Diceros bicornis minor: one gene and its partner. The protein of the gene in region 1 purifies or fractionates together with the protein of each later gene. This does not show direct contact. Links are inferred from orthologs where the notes say so. Each region holds a gene or a part of one and is shown on either strand. Other genes may lie near its edges.

The links. Proteins that work in one complex are often made in the same cells at the same time.
Region 2: the proteins of TXNIP (region 1) and NLRP3 purify together in Homo sapiens (affinity purification with western blotting, with the first as the bait; 4 studies listed by BioGRID). This does not show direct contact. The link is inferred for Diceros bicornis minor from reciprocal best matches to the Homo sapiens genes TXNIP and NLRP3.

What each region holds. Positions count from the first base shown.
Region 1 is NC_080743.1:53,491,100-53,501,521, forward strand, and holds TXNIP (thioredoxin-interacting protein), read right to left. Parts: upstream 6,177-10,422; 5' UTR 5,946-6,176; coding exon 5,696-5,945; intron 5,174-5,695; coding exon 5,101-5,173; intron 4,980-5,100; coding exon 4,832-4,979; intron 4,632-4,831; coding exon 4,529-4,631; intron 4,392-4,528; coding exon 4,135-4,391; intron 4,034-4,134; coding exon 3,877-4,033; intron 3,765-3,876; coding exon 3,613-3,764; intron 3,482-3,612; coding exon 3,446-3,481; 3' UTR 2,020-3,445; downstream 1-2,019. UniProt on the Homo sapiens protein: May act as an oxidative stress mediator by inhibiting thioredoxin activity or by limiting its bioavailability.
Region 2 is NC_080740.1:933,165-943,586, reverse strand, and holds the start of NLRP3 (NACHT, LRR and PYD domains-containing protein 3), read right to left. Parts: upstream 6,966-10,422; 5' UTR 6,912-6,965; intron 5,229-6,911; 5' UTR 5,169-5,228; exon of another isoform or gene 5,002-5,168; 5' UTR 4,958-5,001; coding exon 4,684-4,957; intron 1,579-4,683; coding exon 1,480-1,578; intron 729-1,479; coding exon 1-728. UniProt on the Homo sapiens protein: Sensor component of the NLRP3 inflammasome, which mediates inflammasome activation in response to defects in membrane integrity, leading to secretion of inflammatory cytokines IL1B and IL18 and pyroptosis.

The sequences.
Region 1 (10,422 bases):
GAAAATGTCCTGGGGTGAGGTAGAAGTTGCGTCTAGAAGGCAAAAGAAAGTTGAGTGGAGCCTTTTGTGCTCTAAGGGACGGATGAGTTTCCTCTGAGTGAATAGCTATAGCTGCTCACTTCCTTCCTCAGATTTCGCTGTGCTGTTCAATATGGTAGTCACTAGTCACATGAAGCTAGGTAAATTTAATTAAATTAGAAATAAAAATTCAGTTCATCAGTCACAGTAGCCACATTTCAGAGCTCAATAGCTATGTGTGGCTAGTGGCTACTGGCTACTGTATTAGTGCAAATATAGAACATTTCCATCATCATAGAAAGTTCTATTGGACACTGCTCAATATGAGGTATTAGGGTATCAGGAGGGGCTGCACATGTTCTGGCCCCTTGAGGATCAAATCTCTAACAGACCTTGGGTGAAGTTTATCTACTCTTTCCACACCATCTCCTTCTCATATCTCGTACCAGTAGCCAGGCTGTGTACACAAACGGCCAGGCTTATGTGTTCCATGGTCTCTCCATCCCTTTGTCCTTCCCTCTGGCCTGCTCTTGTCCTTGCTCCACCCTTCCAGTCCCTGGAAAACAAGCTGCAGAAAAAACTTTTCCATCAACTTTGACCTAGTTTCCTGGTCACAGATTCAAAAAAGGGAGGAGCTACTAAATTCTTGAACAGGTAGGAAGAAAAGGAGACGGCAGAGGTAAGAGTCACCATGGCAACTGAGATCTAGAGACTGACACCTTGAGAAAGAAAAAAGGAGAACCAGGAGAGAGCAAACAAGCTACTGAGAATGAAGGAAAAGACACAACAAAGGGAAGATTGAAGCGGAAAAGAAGCTTTTCAATCTTTCTGTTCAATTCATGTTGATTTTATGAACTTCCCAAGAGCCTGTTTGGAGTGGAGGTCCATAGGAAAACTGACCCCATCAAATAAGGGCCAGAACTAGATCTGTCTGCAAAGGTTTAAATGAGCCAGAAATCAGAAAGTATATTAACTTCTGCCATCTCAGGGTTTCTCATCCTAGTCACTCTTTTAGGAATAATAAAAATCATTTCAATTAGAGAGGGAATTGTGGTATCAATCTATTGTTATTACTCTACAAGGAAGAAATACAAACTGCTAAAGCATATCCTCAGAGATGAGGGTGGGGTTGGATATTTAGCAAACCTTTACTGAGTATGATTATGTGCTTGGATAGGAACTGTGCTCAGAACTGCTAAGATAAAAAATGATAGATTGCCTTCAAAGAATTTAATACTTGTAACTCTAAATCCATAACACCTGAATAATTATCATCTTATGTCTTATTGCATATAAACAAAGTTTACACTAGGAAAAAACTCTTATGATAAAACCAAATTATAAAATATGGAACCAAAACCCTTTCCTTCCAAATCTCCCCAGAAACCTCATTTCCTTGTATTTCAAGAGCTCCTTAAAAAAAAAAACCTTACACACTCCAAACTTCAAACAATTTAGTAATGATAAGTGATGGATGTAGAAAACTAGCTTAGACCACCAGAAGATCCCATTGCAGTTTTTTGTGTGTGTGAGAGGAAGATTAGCTCTCAGCTAACATCTGTTGCCAATCCTTCTCTTCTCTGCTGAGGAAGATTGGCTCTGGGCTAACATCTGTGCCCATCTTCGTTTACTTTATACGGGACGCCCCCACAGCATGGTTTGGTAGTTGGTGCCTCTGTCCTTGCCGGTGATCAGAACCTGTGAACCCTGGGCCACCGAAGCCGAGCGCAAGAACATAACCACTATGCCACCGGGCCGGCCCTGCCCACTCCCCCGCCCCACTATAGGTTTTTAGTGAATTGGAAGAAAAGACTAAACGTACTTCAAATTCCTTCCCTCTTCACCCCTCCAACCTCCACTCTGACTATATTCATTAGTCAACAAGGAATGTTCTCTACCGAGTTTTCAAGAACATGAATTGGTCAAGTAGGGGTAAAGCTCCTTTAGGCACACTTTCTAATAATTTCTCCAACACCATTTCACAGAAAAGAAAACAAGCAGTTTTGCCATTAAAAAAACTTTTTTTATTTTTTTACAAAGAATACCCCCACCTGGGGTGAAAATATATCTGGTTAAGTACAAAATATAGTTTTTATCATACAAAAAGATACACAATTAAAAAAAATAAAACCACCTTCAGTCCACATACTTTCTCAAAAAAAGGGTGGAGAGCGGAGTGCTCTGACACAGGACAGTGAACAAAGTGCTAAGGCTGAGGGTGACCAAGTGCTAGCGGCTGCAGTGAGAGAGGGGCTGTCAACATCCCTGTCTCTAATAGTGGGCAGGAAGGGAGCCCTGGGGGCTTTTGTGAAGACCTGCCCTCTAGTTTCTCATGGCAATGTCTGGAGGCTCTGATCACTGTGTTGGGGCATCTTGATCTAGAGTTCATCGTGTTGGGGCATCTTGATCTAGAGTGCCTCCTTGAGTTTGGAGAAGTCACAGTGGGCAAGGATGATAGCAGCAACTCTTCTCATATAATTATAGTGTCAGAACAGAATTCTGTACACTGGGACGAAGTCTCAAAAATAGAGTAACACTTTTTTTTTGTCATTGTGCTTACCCCTAGAGACGTAGTAGACCAGTTTTAGCTTACGTATGAGGGGAAAAAAACCCAAAAAGTTTGACAGGAACTAAAGTGCTAAGAACATCACCTCAGAATCAATTCCAAGGAGTCACATGAAAAGAAAAACATTCTCCCACATGAAAAATGTTCGCAACAGGAGAACACAGTGCAATCGGCTCTAAAAATGGCTTTTAAGACCTTTCACGGGGCACAGTTACTACTGCTTTAAGCCAAATTGAAGTACATTTTAAGCAAAGATAACCTTTCTTCCCTTTAATTCACATGGGAAGCTCTCTCCAAAGTCCAAACCAAATCAGCTCTGGAGAGTATTTCTTTTTTTTTTCTATAAGTATAGAAACAAAGGGCAACAATGATTTTAAGAATCTCCTTTTCCCAAAATTTTGGCCATCACTTTTTTTTCATTTTCCTAGTTTGCTAAATTAGCTCTGCTCCACATGGCACATAAGTTCAAGATCTAATACTGTTATAACCATCTGTAATCCCCTTCAAAAAACCTTGGGAAAACCATGCCAGGAGGCTATTTCTACCCCTTATTCAAAACTACTGAAAATGCCGCAATTTTCAAGATCTGAGAAAACAGGATGGGCCTGAGTTTGTCTAGTGTGATTTTAAACCCATCCAGCAAACACTCCTGTATCACAACATCTTGTTGGCTGAGAACGAGTGTGCACCCTTTAAGGCCCAGGAGATTGCCTGCTGATCACCTCCTAACATTGGGGAGTCAGAGGCTAGAGTGGACCTATAGCCCACTGTAGAGACCACTGAGTCTCTGAAAAAATAAGAGTCCAGGAAGCGAGGCAGAAAGAAACAAGTAGGTACAGCTGCTTCTTTTCTTCCATATGCTCACTGCACATTGTTGTTTAGAATGCAAGGATCCACCTGAGAGGAAAAAGAAAAGACCATTTTAGTTTGGGTAAGAAGGAAAACAACAACTCAGTTTAGCAATTCCTTCAATTCAACTTCCTATAGAAGGCTTCGGACAAATATAGTGGTAAAATGACAATTCTCACCTCAGTATAAGTAGGTGGTGGCATGAACTGGAACTCAGGAGCATACATAAAAATAGGGCTGTCTTGGCAACTATCTGTGTCATCTAGCAGAGGAGTGGTGGGGCTCTCCAATCGGTGATCTTCAGGAATGATATCCATATAGCAAGGAGGAGCTAGAGAGAGAAAGTATGGGGATAAGAAGCATGGCCAAGAAATACCTGACCACCACAATTTTACAAACCCAAACAGGCCAGAGGAGAAGAAAAGACCGTAGGTCTGGCTCACCTTCTGGGGTATCAGGGATGTTGAGATCTACCCAACTCATCTCAGAGCTGGTTTGGCTGGCCATGCTGGACGACCGGCTGCTCAGACCTGACCTGCTGCCAATTACCAGGGGCAGGTCAAGAATGACCTTCTTGGAGCCAGGGACACTAACATAGATCTAGAAAAAAAGATGGCACTTTGTTAGACTAGAGGTCTGGAGAAAACACCACTGTTATTTTGACAGATGAACAATTTCTCTCTCCAACCCCACTCACTCACCAGTAAGGAATATTCAACTCGAAGGATGTTGCAGCCCAGGATAGAAGGCCTGATCTTCTGCACCCGAAGGCTCTTGCCACGCCATGACGCACAGGTTCCTGAGATAATATGATTGCCTCTGACTGATGACAACTTCTGTGTCAATACCTTGGTTTGGCCATTGGCAAGGTAAGTATGGCGGGCTACAATGGCAGCTTTGGGGATCACAATGCGGGAACATGTATTCTCAAAGTCAGCATGGATGGCAATCTCATCACCTAGCAATGACAAAGATGAAAACTAACGCTCAGTATGGCTAATGACTTTTCTTCTGTTCCTGTCCCCTGTCCTCACCCCACCTCCAAGCCCACATTCCTGTTTTATCAGTCTACCATTTTAAGCCCTAGGTTTTTACCTTCACAAAATCCTTTTCTGTCAATTCTGGCAGAGACAGACACTCGTCCATCAGGAATGAACATGCAGGAAACTTTCTTTTCCTTTTTAGCAGACACAGGTGCCTATGTAGAAGGGTGGGACAGACATTTTGAGAATTTCTAGAGATCCTTTCTCTTTTTCCTTTCCACTCCTTACCTAGAGTAGGCAGCTTTCCCTCCCACCTTCATGACAGGATTTGATTCCCTGAGGTGCTTCAATCTAATGCCCAAGACATTTGACTTATCATCCCTGAGACCCAGGAGAATAGAATCTTAAACCTCACCATTAAATCAGGAGTATTGACATCCACTAGATCCATCACTTCAAAGCTTTTCTTTGTCTCTTGAGTTGGCTGGCTGGGGCGATCAAGAAAAGCCTTCACCCAGTAGTCTACACACCCATACTTTCCTTTGAAGGATGTTCCTAGAGGCCTGTGTCAAGAAAAAGGAAACAATTCAAAAATGCTCTCCCAGAACAGTAAGTGATCTCCTCAAAGGAAGGGAAAATTTTTAGAGACAGAAAAGTCCAAAGATGCATTTAGCTGATACCTACCCTTGAGGAAGCTCAAAGCCGAACTTGTACTCATATATGTTTCCAGGTCTCATGATCACCATCTCATTCTCACCTGAAAGGAGACAAAAGCAAGTAGCCCTTAGGTTTCTTGTTACACTGAAAACGCATCTGTGTGATAAGGAATTCTTGGGCAGCAAGCAAAAAGTGTTGCAGTACCCCCATTTTCATCTCTTATGTTCTTATAGGAGAGATTCTGAGGCATTTTGTTGGACAACAAGTTGCAAAGCCCTGCAATACTGAATGACTCAACCAGGACAGTTAATCTACTAACATCTCAAACAGGAAGCAAGCAAAGAATAAGCAACTTATGCATACAGAAAATCTTTAAATAGCTAAGGCAACATCCCTCAGAATCACCTTCAGAACACAGCACCAGTAAGAAATTGTACAAATCAACCTTTTATTTTGGGGAGGTGGGGGGATTTGCAAATTAAAACTAAAAAAGATAAGGTAACACAAAATTCAAACCACTCAACCTAAGCAACTTATAATATTTAGTACAGGCTCCACTTATTCGTTTCAATTCTCGTCTCAAGTCAGCTGTCACCCTCCAGCAAATAACTGGGCCACTCACCTGCTGGCTGGTCTTCCAGCAGAAGCGTGTCTTCGTAGCGCAGGTACTCCAAAGCCTGTTTGCACTGCTGGGATCCTTGCATCCAGAGGACTTTGGCCACTCCGCAAGCCAGGATCCTGACAGCTTTCACTCGAGTGACTTCACATACCTCCACTATCACCCGGCCAGCCACCTTCTCCCCACTGCCGAACACCTTTTCAGGGTCGTTAAAGACCACCTCGAAAGACTTCATCTTCTTGAACATCACCATGATGGGGCTGGGTTGGCTCAAGAGTTAGAAATGGGGAAAAACAAAACCCCTTTGCAATAAATTAAGATTACTTCACTCAATTCTCTACTAAATTTTTGAAAAGATGTCCAAACAATGTAAGCTGCTTGCTATGCCAAGGGATTTCAAGAGAAAAATAGGATCTCTCTTTTCTTTCCTCCAACAGCTGGAGGGAGCGCCGGATCTCGGCGGAAGAACTAACAGCACTCCAGCCACAGAGACAGAAGGATAGTTTAAATCGAGAGCCGGAAACTGCTCTATATAGTAGCCCAGGCAGGCAGGGCCACGCGAGTGCTGGCCGGGAGGCTCGTGCTGCCCTCGTGCACAGCCCTCCCATTGGCTGCCTGGTCCTTGTTTACCAGTAGCTGAACCAATCAGCGAGGTCGCAGTGGCGCGTGGACACGGTGTGCTCTTGGCGCGGGGGAAAGAGGTTGTTATGCCGCGCTGCCTCGCAGGGAGGAGGGGGTGAGGAGGGGGTGGGGAGGGGGTGGAGGGGCTTCGGCGCGGCTTGCCTGCGGCCGGAAGGAGGTGGGGGTGTCGCTGACCCTAACATTTATTCAGGGCCCGTGGCTGTCGAAGGGCGGGTGCGGATGATTTTGGGCTGGGAGCGGTGTTTTGAGGTAAAAGGAAATGTGCTTATGAGGGAATTTCGTGCGGAGCCTTAGCCAGAGCACTTCATTTAGAGGCGACCGTTTATTTCCGGCTCAGAAGTCGCAAGTCGTGTGAAAAACAATCCCACAGCCCCAAGAATACTTAAGGATTGGAGTGGAGGACAGGGAGTGCTGGCGTTACTGTTCAGGAAGAGCCCCTTTTTCCTTCTCTCGCCCCGCATCTCTATTAAACAAACAGAACTGCTGTCTGTAAAGGAAAGGAGAATTTGTCACAAATTTTAAATCTCTCTTCTGTCCTCATTGGAAAGCGAGTATGTGGGACTGGTCGGCCTTCTCCCTCCCTTTGTCCGGGACTGTGTGCCTGTGCTGTTCCTCAGCTCCCGTACCCTGTGTTCTGTTCTCTGGAACGGAAATAGTAAGGGCGTCTTCACATCCTGTTGCTTATCCCCTCATGTCTTCAGTTTCCACCTGCAAAGTTGGGGAACACTGTGTTCTCCCAGTTGCCTCATTACCTCTTTAGGAAGGTGTGTTCTTGAGGCTCTGATTCTCTCTCACTCCTTCCCTGCTTCTTCAGGAAAGGAGAGGGAAAAAAAAGGATGCTTCACTCTTTCCACTTTCTTCCTGAGTTACTTCCCATTCTGTCGTCTTCATCTCGTCTTCAACTCACCAAATCAAAGGTACATCCCTAAAACTGTTGCCCACACTCCTCACAGTCTTCAAGTTAGTTAAGAGCGGGAAGGTGCTCTTGTTTATAACCAAAGTATCAGTGAAGAGATGGCTGTATTCCTGTTTGAAGGAAGAATTTCCTTATCTTTTAAAAGTTTTTTCTTAAGTTGTTTAAAAATCGGTAAGAAAGGAAAGAAGACAAAAGGGTCGTGAGAACACTGTACGTTCAAGCTAAAAGAGACCCTGACTTCTCTTTCTTGCTGTCGTTTGGTTGTCAGATGGGTTGGTCCTGAGCTGGCAGTGAGATGCCTTAGGAGCTGACTCCTGAGAAATTATTCATAAATGCAATAAAAACTTGTATGCAGAGATACTGGGATTCTTCCCCCTTTTCTTTGGTTCCTGGTTCCCTCCCATGTCTGTTTTGGGATATCAGGAGCTTATTACTTCATTTCTTGTGCTGGAAAGAGGAAGATAATGTCCCCAAGATTGAGATGGGGAAGTGAATAGAAGCGTTAGAATATACAGAAATCCTACTCTCTCAGCAAAAAGAGGGCTATTAATTGCTGTTAAGGATCCTTTTTCCTTCCTGGTACACCCTAAGTAGATTGCTAAGGTAAGGCTAACAAGTTACAACTCAACCCCAATATTAAGCAAGCTCAAGAAACAGGCATTAAGACTGTTGGAAAACACACACAAACAGCACCAATCCCCAGGAACAAAAAGGGGAACATGTTGATCCTTAGGGTGTGTGGGTTTGAGGTGGCACCCTGTTCTAGAAAGTTCACTGACAAGGGCTGAGTTGTTTTCAGTCGGTCAACAATATTGATTGAATTATCGGGAGCAGGGAAGGTGGGACTCGCACTAAAGTCATTTTAAAAATTCAAATTGTGGCTTCCGGGAGACCTTTAGTTTGATGAGTATGAAAGTGTACATAAATATGAAACATCAGTGTTTACAAAGAAATACATGAATCAATATTGTTAAACAGTGTTGATATGTAACTACATAAATTTTGAGGGGATGGGGGAGAGTTGGGTTGTCATAGGTCAAGGTGGTATTAAGGATGTATTTGAGAAAAGGGAATGCTGATATTTATTTGGGCATATCTATGAAGGGCTGAATTTTTGAGTTTTTAAAAATCTTAATACAATTCTCTTTTGCTGTAAGTTCCTCTTATGGGCTCCCGTTTCTTCTTTCTTTCCCCTTTTGCAGAACTCAGTAGAGACCACTTGTTTGCTCTGTGTTGTGCCTGGGTTCCCTTAAATGCCAAAAAGCTATTTAGCTTTGGCAGCAAGCAGCTGACTGTCAGGCCTATAGCCAAAGCATGTTCTGAAATGGAGCCCTCCTGGACAGAGTTGTTTACAACCTTTCACCTTATACCCCAGTATGCTGATAAAAATCTGTCCCGATTTTTCTTTCTCAGTTCCTTATTGGAAGGAAGAAAAAATCTTGTGAATTCCTGTTCTGAAAACAGTGTACAAGCACTTGTGGGGTGCAGGGGGGGAAAAAGGCAGGCCCAGGAGGAACAACAAAGTAGGGCTAAGTCCAGGAGTTTTGCAGGTTTGGTCATCTTTATCTGCTCCTTCCCCACCCTCTTCAATTCCAGTGCCAGTAGGAAACCAAGTGGTGATTGTTTGCTGTACTGGAGTTGATTGAGTAAAGCCAAAGCTTTCAGGGAGGGAAGTACCCTCAGCACTCTGTTGCATTTCTCTTTTCCTTAACCTGTGGCCTGAAGACATTTAAAACTCTAAAGACTCGTAGTTCCTAACGCAAAACAAACCCCTTTCTTTGTCCTTTTAATCTCTTCTGTCACCTTCACTCTGTAAATTTCCGTTTACCGTTATCCATCAGCCAGTTCCCATTTTTCCCTAGGGAATATTAGTTTAGAGGCGAATAAAGGTCGAAAAGAGAGTGGGAAATTTGAGACTGCTCAACTGTGTGTATGCCTCCAAGTCATAGATAAATAAGAATATATTAATAATTGTATAGCATCTTAGAGTTCAAAGTGACTTTTTTGTCATTTATTGAGCCCCTGTAATGGACCAAAGTCTTTTACATAGTTATCTCAATGATATTTTAAAATTTATCTGTCATCTTGTTCCAGAAAGGATTTAAAAATGGTTAGATTATTTCATTTAATTCTCACAATAACCTTGTGACTCAGGGTTGATTAAGTCAAGCTCAGAGGGTTAAGTAATTTGCCTGAGGTCACAGATTTTGTCACTACAGCAAGATCTTGAACCCAGGTCTGTCTATCTAAAGTATGTACTCTTTCTAATGTGTTGTCCTGCGTTTCGGTGCTTTAACACACCATATCTTGTTTGATCTTCACTGTAAAGGATTCAGGGCAAGACTCATAAAATTTTAGAGTTAAAGGTGACTCGAGCAGTCATTTTCCTAAAACCAGTTCCCTTATTTTAGTTAAGTGACTTGCCCTGGGCCAAACAGCTAGTAACTGCTGGAGCCACTCTCCAAACCCACGATTCCTACTACTTAATCTAGACTTCTTGTCTCTAGAATGCTTTGTGAGGGTTCTTGTTTTTATGTTTAGCTTTAATTATTAAAATATCTCATCTGGAAGCCCACGTTTCCTATTTGTTGGGGTCTACTTTTCTACTATGTTGAGGACAGAATGGAGATCTAGTAGCCTAACTTCAGGGAAGGATGAGGAGAGGCGGTGAATTAGTTTGTTCAGAATGATTGCAGAATCATTTATTTCTTAAAGTTGCTTTATTATATTAAAAAAAATCTTATTTCCCTTTTCATGCTATCACCCCATCTGTTTTCTTTCCTTGACTACCAAATTTCTTAAGAGAATCACTTATATCAGCTTTGTCTGTTGACTAAACTTGTCCCTTTGTAGTCTAGCTTCTGCTACCACTGAAACAGTTTTCTTTAAGGTTTCCAGAGGAAACAAGAGTGGTTTTTTTTAGGCCTTATTCTCCTTGACTCCTACATAATTTGAAAACTGCCATCTTTTTAAAATTTACACATCCGTCTTGACTTTTGGACTTTATTCTTTTCTTGTTTGCCAGCAATTCCTTTTTTCCCTGCCCCCTGAAAGCCGTTCTCAAGGGCTTGTCCTTGGCCATCTCCTTTTCTTTGTTTAAGCTTTGTTCTTCAGTTTGCCTGTCTGTACGTCACTCGTGTAAAATCTATACCATACCTCTAGTCTGTCTCCC
Region 2 (10,422 bases), on another chromosome or scaffold:
CTCCGAGAAACCCAGGATCTCCACATGACGGGGCCGGTCCAGCAAGTGCTGCAGTTTCTCCAGGGCCGCAGGTCTCGTGGTGATGAGCAGGGAGGCCTCAGGAAGCAGCTTCTTTCTGATGAGGCTGCTCAGGAGAATGTCTCCCCGCTCCACCTTCTGCCAGTCCGTGCAGAGCGCCTCCGTGTGCTCATCGAAGGCGCCTTGCAGCTCATCGAAGCCGTCCATGAGGAAGAGGATCCTAGAAGGCTTGCTCAGAATCTTGCCTACGGGCGGCTTTGGGTCAGGGCAGCAGCTGATGATCAGGTCCCCCAGGCTCCTCCGCGTCCCGAGGCTCACCTCCCGACAGTGTATATAGAACAAGTAGTCAAACCTGTTTCGATAAAGTTTCTCGGACGCCCAGTCCAACATGATCTTCCTGGCCAGGATCGTTTTCCCAATGCCCGCTGCTCCCTGGAATACCACCGTGTGCACGGGCTCCGAGTGCTGGTCGTCGGGCTCGAACAGCAACTCCAGGTTCATGGAACTCATGGGGCAGTCCCGCGTCTTGGCCGAGGTCCTGCCGATGGCCAGGAGCTCGTGCTCCCTCTCCTGCTGGCTGCGGTGCTCCTTGACGAGACACAGCCTGGTGTAGCGTTTGTTGAGGTTCACGCTCTCGCCCAGACGGGCATTCCTGTCTTTGATGCACTGGAACCTGCTTCTCACGTGCTTTCTGTACTTCTTACAGTAATCTGCAGTAGACACAGAAGGTTAGACTTTGGGAGAAGCCCAAACACGTCCACCAGAGATGATCTGTCACAGGGGCCTGTGGTTGGCAGGGAGTGGTGACTGAAACTACAAAATGGGAGGTGCAGTTTCTCTCCACTGCTTGGGTACAGGTGGCCCCAGAAATCTAGGATGTTAGACTCTTCCTATCTATACACAGCTGAGCAGAAGAGCAGCGAAGTGCCGTACGTGCTGCCCTGGCCAGAAAACCCTTTTTTTTTTCTTTTGTGAGGAGATCAGCCCTGAGCTAACATCCGCCAATCCTCCTCCTTTTTTGCTGAGGAAGACGGCCCTGGGCTAACATCGGTGCCTATCTTCCTTCACTTTATATGGGACGCCGCCACAGCATGGCTTACCAAGCAGTGCATCGGTGCGCGCCCGGGATCCGAACCAGCGAACCCCGGGCCGCCGCAGCGGAGCGCGCGCACCGGGCCGGCCCCCAGAAAACCCTTTTTATTCATCATTACTCCTTGAGGTGGTCTGCAGCCCACGCCTTTTAAAACCTGCAGCACTCGGTCCCAATCGCCTCCCCTTGGTTCCGGGACTACAAGGAGCCCCGCGAACATGGGCCCTTCCTTCAGCTGTCGTGGATGTCCTGAGATGGGCCTCTGTATCCTGAGAAGCAGGAGCGTGCAGGCTGACCAAGCTCCCCAGCTCCCCAGTGCCTCCCAAACTGGGTCTCCAAACCCAACTGGAACTCCCACCCTCATGGCTTACCTTTCTTTTTTTTACAAATAGAGATTCTGGAGAGGTACCCCAGTAAACCTATCCATTCCTCTTCAACACTTTCTTCTTGGCATATCACATGCGAATGATCTGAAAATAAAAGGAAAAAGATACAAAATGTCAAAACCCAGGACTCCTGACTAAGGTGATGTGATTGAGACCCAATACCCAACACCGGGCACAGGTCAGAGCTCCTGGCTGGACCCCTCCCAACCAGCACACGGCTCAGAGCTGTGGCTGACAGGAGGGCAGGTGAACACCAGCTGAGGGTGTCCCTGCCATCCTAATTTCAAAGCAGTGGATGTCACCCACCCAGCCAGCATTGTGGCCCCTCTTATCAAGTTGAGGAATCGCTCCCCCAGGCCTGGAAATCACTGGCAGGCAAGGCTTCCCTCACCTCCTTTGTCTTTGGGAGACTCCCCTCACCACCCCACCCTGCTGGGGTTCTGGTTTTGAGGCCCTCCCCACGCTCTGCAATATCCCCAAGATGGCCACGGGCCAGCGGGAGCATCCTTCCCTGACCTCAAACGCCTGGAATTCATCTTACCCACATTCTGGGTCTCCCAAAGTGAGAATCTGTGTCTAACTCAGCGGTTCAGAATCCTGGCTGACATTAAGAAGCTTTAAGAGGTGGGGCCCAGGCACCACTAAGTTTTAAAAGCTCCAACATGCATCCACAGTTGAGCATCACAGATGTAAACAATCACGAAATCACATATTCCAAAGAGGCGTCCACAGGAGAAATTTAGGCATGGTAGGACAAGAGTTGGCACAGGGGAAACACATGGGCAGAGAACCTGAGGAGGGCAGGAGACCAAGAACGACATAAAGGACTCCTGGTAGGTGTCTACTTATTCTGCGGGCAAATGGTATTGGTAACCCAATCACAAAACAAAATGGCTTGCTGCACTTACACAGTGAAGGCAAAAGTTCATCTGAAAGTGCCGGCCTCATGGGGTTTGTGTGAGGAATGAACAAAATCCACGAAACTGCCTGCAAACGACTTCTGCAACCACAACCGTCACCCTTGACTGTGGTTGGTGAGTAGCAGGCGCTGACGCAGTTATGGTTGTACTATTACAGCAGTTTCTCCAGAGCACCCCACTGCCGTGCGCCCCTGCCTCGGGTCCTGGGCATTTTTCTCCCCTTCTTCATACCCACGTTGCCTTCCCGCCTCATCATGCTTCTCCCCAGCTACCAAGCACTTTTACTCCTCCTTCCCACCAGCTCAACATCATCATCCTTGAGGTTCTAGATCCTTCTGAGTCCTTCCTTGTGCCCCTCCCTTGCTCAGAACACCAAGCTTAAGGAAGAGCGTGTTGGGGCCGGTCCCGTGGCGTAGCGGTTAAGTGCGCGCGCTCCGCTCCTGGCGGCCTGGGTTCGGATCCCGGGCGCGCACCGAGGCACCGCTTCTCCGGCCATGCTGTGGTGGCGTCCCACATAAAGTGGAGGAAGATCGGCACGGATGTTAGCTCAGGGCCAGTCTTCCTCAGCAAAAAGAGGAGGATTGGCGTGGATGTTAGCTCAGGGCTGATCTTCCTCACACACGCACAAACACACTAAATAAATAAATTTAAAAAAAAAAAAAAAAGAAAGAGCGTGACCCCGAGCATGCCCACAGGATGCAGGAAATTTCTTTCACCATTCCAGTGCCCAAAGTCATGGCCACAGGAAAGGCTTTTCTGTGAGGTGAGAGCTGGCCCCCTGAGCCATGGGAAGCAGACACTCAAGCTTGCTGGCTGTGCAGACAGACACATGAGGAGCTGGATGAGAGATTCAGATAAAGTGAAGCTAAACAGGGGAGGTTCCTAGGGGTAGATGAGCCCTGACGTGGGGTTTTAAAGGAACTAGAAAAAAGCAAAGTGCTTTCCTCCATCTTCTCATAGTACCGTCATGAGAAGAAGAGAGAGGATGAAGCCAAGATAATAAAAGAATTGATTAAAAAACAAACATACTGGGCTGGCCCCGTGGCGTAGCGGTTAACTGTGCGCACTCCACTGCTGGCGACCAGGGTTCAGATCCGGGCACGCACCAACGCACCGCTTGTCAGGCCATGCTGTGGCGGTGTCCTACATAAAGGGGAGGAAGATGGGCACGGATTTTAGCCCAGGGCCAGTCTTCCTCAGCAAAAAGAGGAGGATTGGCAGATGTTGGCTCAGGGCTGATCTTCCTCACAAAAACAAAAAACAAAAAAACACCAAACATACTAGCTTTGACACATTAAAGGAAACTATCAACAGAGTGAAAAGGACCCCACGAAATGGGAGAAAATATTTGCAGATCATACATCTGATAAGAGGTTCATATCCAGGATATGTGAAGAACTCCTACGAGTCAACAGCAATAACAACAAAACCCAATTAAAACATGGGAAAAGGACTTGAATAGACATTTCTCCAAAGGTAAACAGACGGCCAACAAGAACATGAAAAGACACTCGATGTCACTAGTCATCAGGGAAATGCAAATCAAAACCACAATGAGATACCATCTCACACCCCATACGATGGCTACTATCCAAAAAAAAACCCCGTAACATACTTGTTGGCGAGGATGTGGAGAAGTTAGAACCCTTGGGTGTACACTGTGGGTGGGAATGTGAAATGGTGGAGCCACTATGGAAAATATTATGAAACATAGAATTACCATATAATCCAGTAATTCTACTTCTGGGAATATACCCAAAGGAAATGAAAGCAAGGTCTCAAAGAGATTTGTACACCCATGTTCATAGCAGCATTGTTCACCATAATCAAAAGCTAGAAGCAGTCTGAATGTCCATTGATGGATAACAAAATGTGCTACATACATACCATGGAATATTATTCAGCCTTAAAAAGGAATGAAATCCTGTCACATGTGACAACATAGATGAAGCCTGAGGATATTATACTAAGTGAAATAAGCCAGACAGAAAAAGACAAGTACTTTATGATTCCATTTATAAGAAGTCTGCGGAATGATCAAATTCATAGAGACAGAAAGTGGTGTTTGCCAGGGGCTGAGGGGAGAGGCGAATGAGGAATTGTTGCTTAATGGGTGTGGAGTTTTGCAAGATGAAAAAGAGTTCTGGAGATTGATTGCACAACAACGTGAATGTGCTTAGCACTACTGAATCATACACTTAAATACGGTAAATTTTAAGCTACATCTATTTTATCACTATTTTAAAAATACCTTCTTGTTTCCACTCACCCCACTCTGGCTCATCCCTCTTAGCTTTCTCGTGGAGGTCTCTCCTGTTGATCGCAGCAAAAATCCACACTGCCATGGCCCACGCCTTCTCCTGCCCGTTGAAGTCAATCATCAGGGTGGCGAGATCCACAGGATCTGCTTTCTCTGTTTGACCCCGAGGGAGCGGGGTGCCCTTCTGAGGAGGATAGTCTTCCAAGTGCATCTTGAATTTCTTCAGGTCTGCGTCCTCCAGGTCCTCCAGGTAGCGCGCCAGCTTGCAGCGGACGCCTGCCATGCTCTCCTGCAGCCCTGGTCAGGCAGCTTGGGCATACGTCCACACTGGGAAGTCCGGTGGTGAAAACAGCATATGGGTGAGGAACGTGTTTTTAAAAGTCCACCCTGAAGAGAACTAAACTATCAAAAACCCAGAAGACTGCAAGGAGGAAACATCACTGGGCTGTAACAAGTCGCCATCTTTGGTTTTGAAATGTGAGCCAAATACTTACCAGAAACTTTCCTGCCGGCTCTGCCCAGGACTGTGTCCTGAGCCATGGAAGAAAGTTTCCCTGTGGAGAGAAACAATAATTAAAACCACAGACTGGACCGCATTAACAGCATGATGGAAGCCCGCACTGCTTCACGGCGCCACCTCGACATATGGCCGGGGGCACCTGGTCCCACTGGTTACTGGGCTATGACCTCTGACAAGCTCTTCACTGTCCCTCACCTCAGTTTCCAAGTCTGTAAAATCACGGAGTGGGAAGGATGGCCTTTAAGTTCCTTCCAATTGAAAGACTCTGCTTCCTTGTTTCTGTTTTGACCCGAGGAAAGATGGATGGGGGATGAAAGAAGGAGGCCAGGGAATGACTGTGGTGATAGCAGAGCAGTGCACGGCTAGAGACAGAGGGAGAACATTGAGGCAGGCGGAGGAGGGGCTGCTCTGCGACTGCTCTTCTATCAATCCACTGATTGACGGAAACAGAAATGAGACGGGGCTTGGGGCGCGTAGGGGGAAGAGTGGAAACATATCCCTCTTTAATGTCTCCTGGTAAAATCTGTAATTGTGATAGGTATTAGAAAGGACATTTACGGAGAGCTTCTCGTGGGCTGGGCACTGCACTGATGCTTTTCCTCATCTAACCTCCCAAAGCCCTACGAGGTGCCTCTATTCCTAGCTCCGCTTTATGGAAGTAGAGACTGTCTTAGAGACGCTCAGAGAATTGCCCAGAGTTTCGCAGCCAGGAAGGGGCGAAGCCAGGATTTAGACCAGGGTCATCCGTTTCTGAGCCCACGCCGCTGCCCCTGCACTTTTCACAGCCTGAAAAGATAGGAGACCATTTCTTCCACCACTTAACTGTGTATCGTAGTCAGATAGAAACAAAAGTGATCAAAGACAATAGAATATACCATTAAAAGGAAAGCGTTTATCACACACAGCTTCTCACTGTGGCGTCCCCCACTCCATTTTCCTAACCGGACTTCAAGTTCCCCAGAGAGTGGAAAGCTGCTGTGTCTTTCAGTCTGCCACTTCAACTGGTTTTGGACAGATGAACACGCTGGATTTGTTTGGCCTTGAGTGCTTCGTATTCCTGAATTTGGAAAAGCACATCAGCCAAAGCCACCGATGATGCTAACAGGAGGCAGGGGCGCTGTGAAGCAGTGGAGCAAAGCGGAATTTATAACGACCACGGTCTGACGTTTGAGACGCCTCAACCACACTCATCTCTCCTTCTCCTATCGCCACTCGTGCCGCTCCACTCCTGGCCTCGCACAACCCCAAGTCTACCCCCTAATGTATTTGGTGGGGGGTCGAGGGGTCTCCAGACAGATCCACCAGCTCTGCAGACCCTCCCAGGTCCTGCTCCATCAATCTCTCATCCACAGCAGGACTCCGCCTCTCTGTGCTCCCCTGACCTTAACCCCAGTGCACTCTGCCCTGACGCTTACCCCTCTGGGCCTTTGCCTCATTTCCCCACACACGTCTCACCCACCCGCTCCCTGGTGGAATGCTGGAGTCATGGGGTAAGCCGTGGTTGCTGCCCGTGTCCTCGGCACCCCCCCAACACTTGCACACATAGAGTCCAAATGATAAACATAAAAGAACATTCCAGAATCATTGTTGGAGGACAGACTTGGAGGCTGGCAGAAGAAATCCCAAGTCCGTTAACCAAGGCGAGTCTGGCCCTCGACACCCCTCCCCATTATTCCCCGGCCCTTTCCGTCATCCTGCTCCGTGGAGCTGGACTCACCCAGATGTGGTCTCAGGAACAGCCGGAAAGGAAACTTGATGAATTTATAGCGGTCACAGCCCAGCAGGGGCAGGAAGGATGTGGTCTCAGTGTGGACTGAACGCGCTTGCATCACAGGCCGAGGCAGAGACTGAGGGTGACACACAGCTCCGGGTTTTCCAAACCGAATGCACAGTGTTTTCAAAGTTGAGCCTGGTGGTGGCTGGAGAAGTCTGGCCTCTGCTTGGTGGCCGTCAGGGCAGGGAGTGGGGGAAACTCGGTCAGTGCTTGAGGGGTGTTCCCTCTCACTCTCACAGCAGCCATGTGAGCGTGGTAGTGACAGAAGAGAGAGTGCAACGGGGGATCCCCCAGGGCGGGAAGTAGAGCGAGAGCTTGGCCCAGCGTCCAAGCACGGAGCCCATGCCCTTTCATGCGTCACGTGGAGGGGTCAGCAGGAGGTACAGATGCTCTCATCACCTCTTATTTATTTATTTTTTTTGTGAGGATGATTAGCCCTGAGCTAACATCTCTTGCCAATCCTCTCTCTGTCTCTCTCTTTTTTTTTTTTGCTGAGGAAGACTGGCCCTGGGCTAACATCTGTGCCCATCTTCCTCTACTCTATATGGGACGCCGCCACAGCATGGCTTGACAAGTGGTGTGTTGGTCCACACCCAGGATCCGAACCTGCGAACCCCAGGCTGCTGAAGCGGAGCACACAAAGTTAACTGCTATGCCACCAGGCTGGCCCCATCTCTTATTTTTTTTTTAAACCATCTTATAGAGGTAAGTATGCACCTATGAACCCATCACCACCGTGAACCCATCACCACCGTGAAGGCCATAAACACGTTTATCACCACCCAGACTTTCCTCCCACCCACCCCTTTGTTATTATTGTTGTTATCGTTATTATTATGATGATGTTGTGTGTGTGGTAAGAACACTTAACGTGAGACCTACCCTTTTAGTGGACATTACGTGAACAGGACAGTGTTATGGACGACAGGCTCTGTGCCGGACAGTCGCTCTCCAGGACTTAGTCATCCTGTGTGAAGGAAACTTCGTGCCCTTTGACTAATGGCTCCCCTTCCTCCCTCTCCCCAGCCCTGGCAACTGCCATTCTACTCTCTGTTTCTATGGGTATGACTATTTTAGATTCTTCATATAACTGATATCGTACAGAATTTGTCTTAGTTCACTTTACATAATGTCCTCAAGGTCCATCCATGTCGTCGCAAATGGCAGGATGTCCTTGTTTCTCATGGCTGGATAATATCCCATTGTGTATGTGTATATACCACATCGTCTTTATCCGTGCTTCCACTGATGGACACTCAGGTCGTTTCCATACCTTGGCTATCGTGAATAACGCTGCAGAGGACATGGGTGTGCAGACAGCTCTTCGGGGTCCTGATTTCAATTCCTTTGGGTAGGCACAAACTCTACTCCCTGACTCACGGCCTCACTGGCTCAACCGACACCTGTAGAGTACCTGGTGTGTTCCAGGCACAAACACAAGGCTGAAAAGCACCTTGCCTTCCCCAGGAGGAGCTGGAGGAGAGAGAAGCACCAGATCTGCTTTCCTCGCTCTGGCAGTGGCTGCAGGACCATGCTCTGACAATAGCATGACTTCTACAGAGTTTGGAAGGCAAGAGGCGCCCAGCACCCCAGGCAAGTGCAGGAACCCTGGAGCGAGAAGGACAGGTGTCCAAGTCCAGCAGAGGGGCGTTGGCAAGTGACTGTCTCTCTGTGCCTCGGTTTCCTTATCTGTAAAGTGGGGACAACAATGGCGCCTATTGTAAAGAGTTGTCATAAGGACTGAGCAAATAGATGGATATGGGGCCTTTCGAACAGAGAAGCTGGTGTTGGTGGTTGGTCCTGGTACTACTGTTGTCAGAGAATTACATGCAGAATGCTCCAAGGGGGGAAGAGAGGCAGTGGCTCCTCCTGAAGCCAGGGTGGGACAGCAGAGCTGAGTCTCAAGGTCGTCAGGGGCAGGGTACACGCAGGAGCAGCCGGGACGCCAGGTGCTGAGCCCGCAGAGAGCAGATCAGTCAGGCTCAAAAGGAAAGGAGCTCATTGGCTGAACCAGGGATTCTTTCTCTTTTTTTGAGGATGAGGGATCTTTTCCTTTTTCCTTTACATCTTTCTACAGCATTTGAATTTTTATTTTTTTGCCATGAACGTGCATTACTCATAAGAGTAAAGAAATAAATTAAACAATAAGTTAAACCAACTAACACTGCGTCTCTAGAGTAGGCCCTGAAAGAAATCCTCACGTTTGAATGATCATCAGAACGTCCCGTGAAGGCGGCAGGCACGGCTGAATGTCGTTTTACAGACGAAGAAACAGTCGTCGGTCAGAATTAGGTCTTTTTAAAGATCCAGGCAAGTGGTCAGTGGTGCGATTGATGCTTGAACTTGAGGCTTCTGGCTTCTAAGATGAGATTTAATTTTTCATTTCCAAATGATCAAAACAACTAATAGTGAATGTTTTTTCCCTCCTAGAACAATTACAGACTTTTCACACTTTCCTGTCTGGCATACATATCATTCCTTTCTAATACAGCGAACGGTTAGGCTGCACTGACCTGTAGTTTATGCTTTAGAGCTGTTGACTGCGGACTGTTGCTGTTTGTATTCGGCTGAGCTGAGTGAGGCAGGTCATTTACTTGAGGTACACATCCAGCCTTTCTCACGCGCAGGTCTGTGAGTTCTCACAAGCACGGTCGCCACGCAGCCACCGCCACAGTCGAGACGCAGAACACCTCCATCGCCCCCAAAGTCCTCCTTGTGCCACCGCACGATCAGCCTCTGTCCCCACCCAGATGCTGGCATCCACGGGCCAGCGCTCTGCCACTAAAGTCGTGCCTTTTCCAGGGAGTCACGTAAGCGGGATCCTGCGGCCGCAGCTTGTCCTCAGGTCCGTTCACCCCTTGGGGCGCACATGAGCTGCGTGCCTGTTTTGTCGGTGGGCTTTGTTCCTTCTTGTTGCTGGGTCAGCCAGTGGAGTGGACGCATCACAGGGTGTTTATCCACGCCCACACATTTGGGCTGTTTCCAGTTTTTGGCAATTGTCAGTAAAGCCACTATAAACATTCAAAAACAGATTTTTGTGTGAGTATGTTTTCACTTCTCTTGGGTAAATACCTAAAAGTGGAATGGCTGGATCATGTGGGAAGAGTATGTTTACCTTCTTAAGAAACTGCCAAACTGCCAAGGTGGCCACACCATTTTGCGTTCCCACCAGCAATGCACCCGTCTCCAGTCCCCGAGCCTCCTCCCCAAGCACGTGGCTGAATCAGTTGTGTTTTATTTGTTTAAGCCATTCTAATAGGTTTGTAGTGAACTAGGGAATTTAAGCAATGTTTTGAAAAATTCATGCAGCTGAGCTGGTTGCAATTATTTAAGGGCATCAGTCACAGGGAGGCTCGGGAGAGAGACGTGGTGCCCGGCTGTCACCACCCTGACACCCAGCTGCATCTCTCAGCTGGCCCATTCCCTTGGCTGGGAGGCTCAGATCAAACAATAT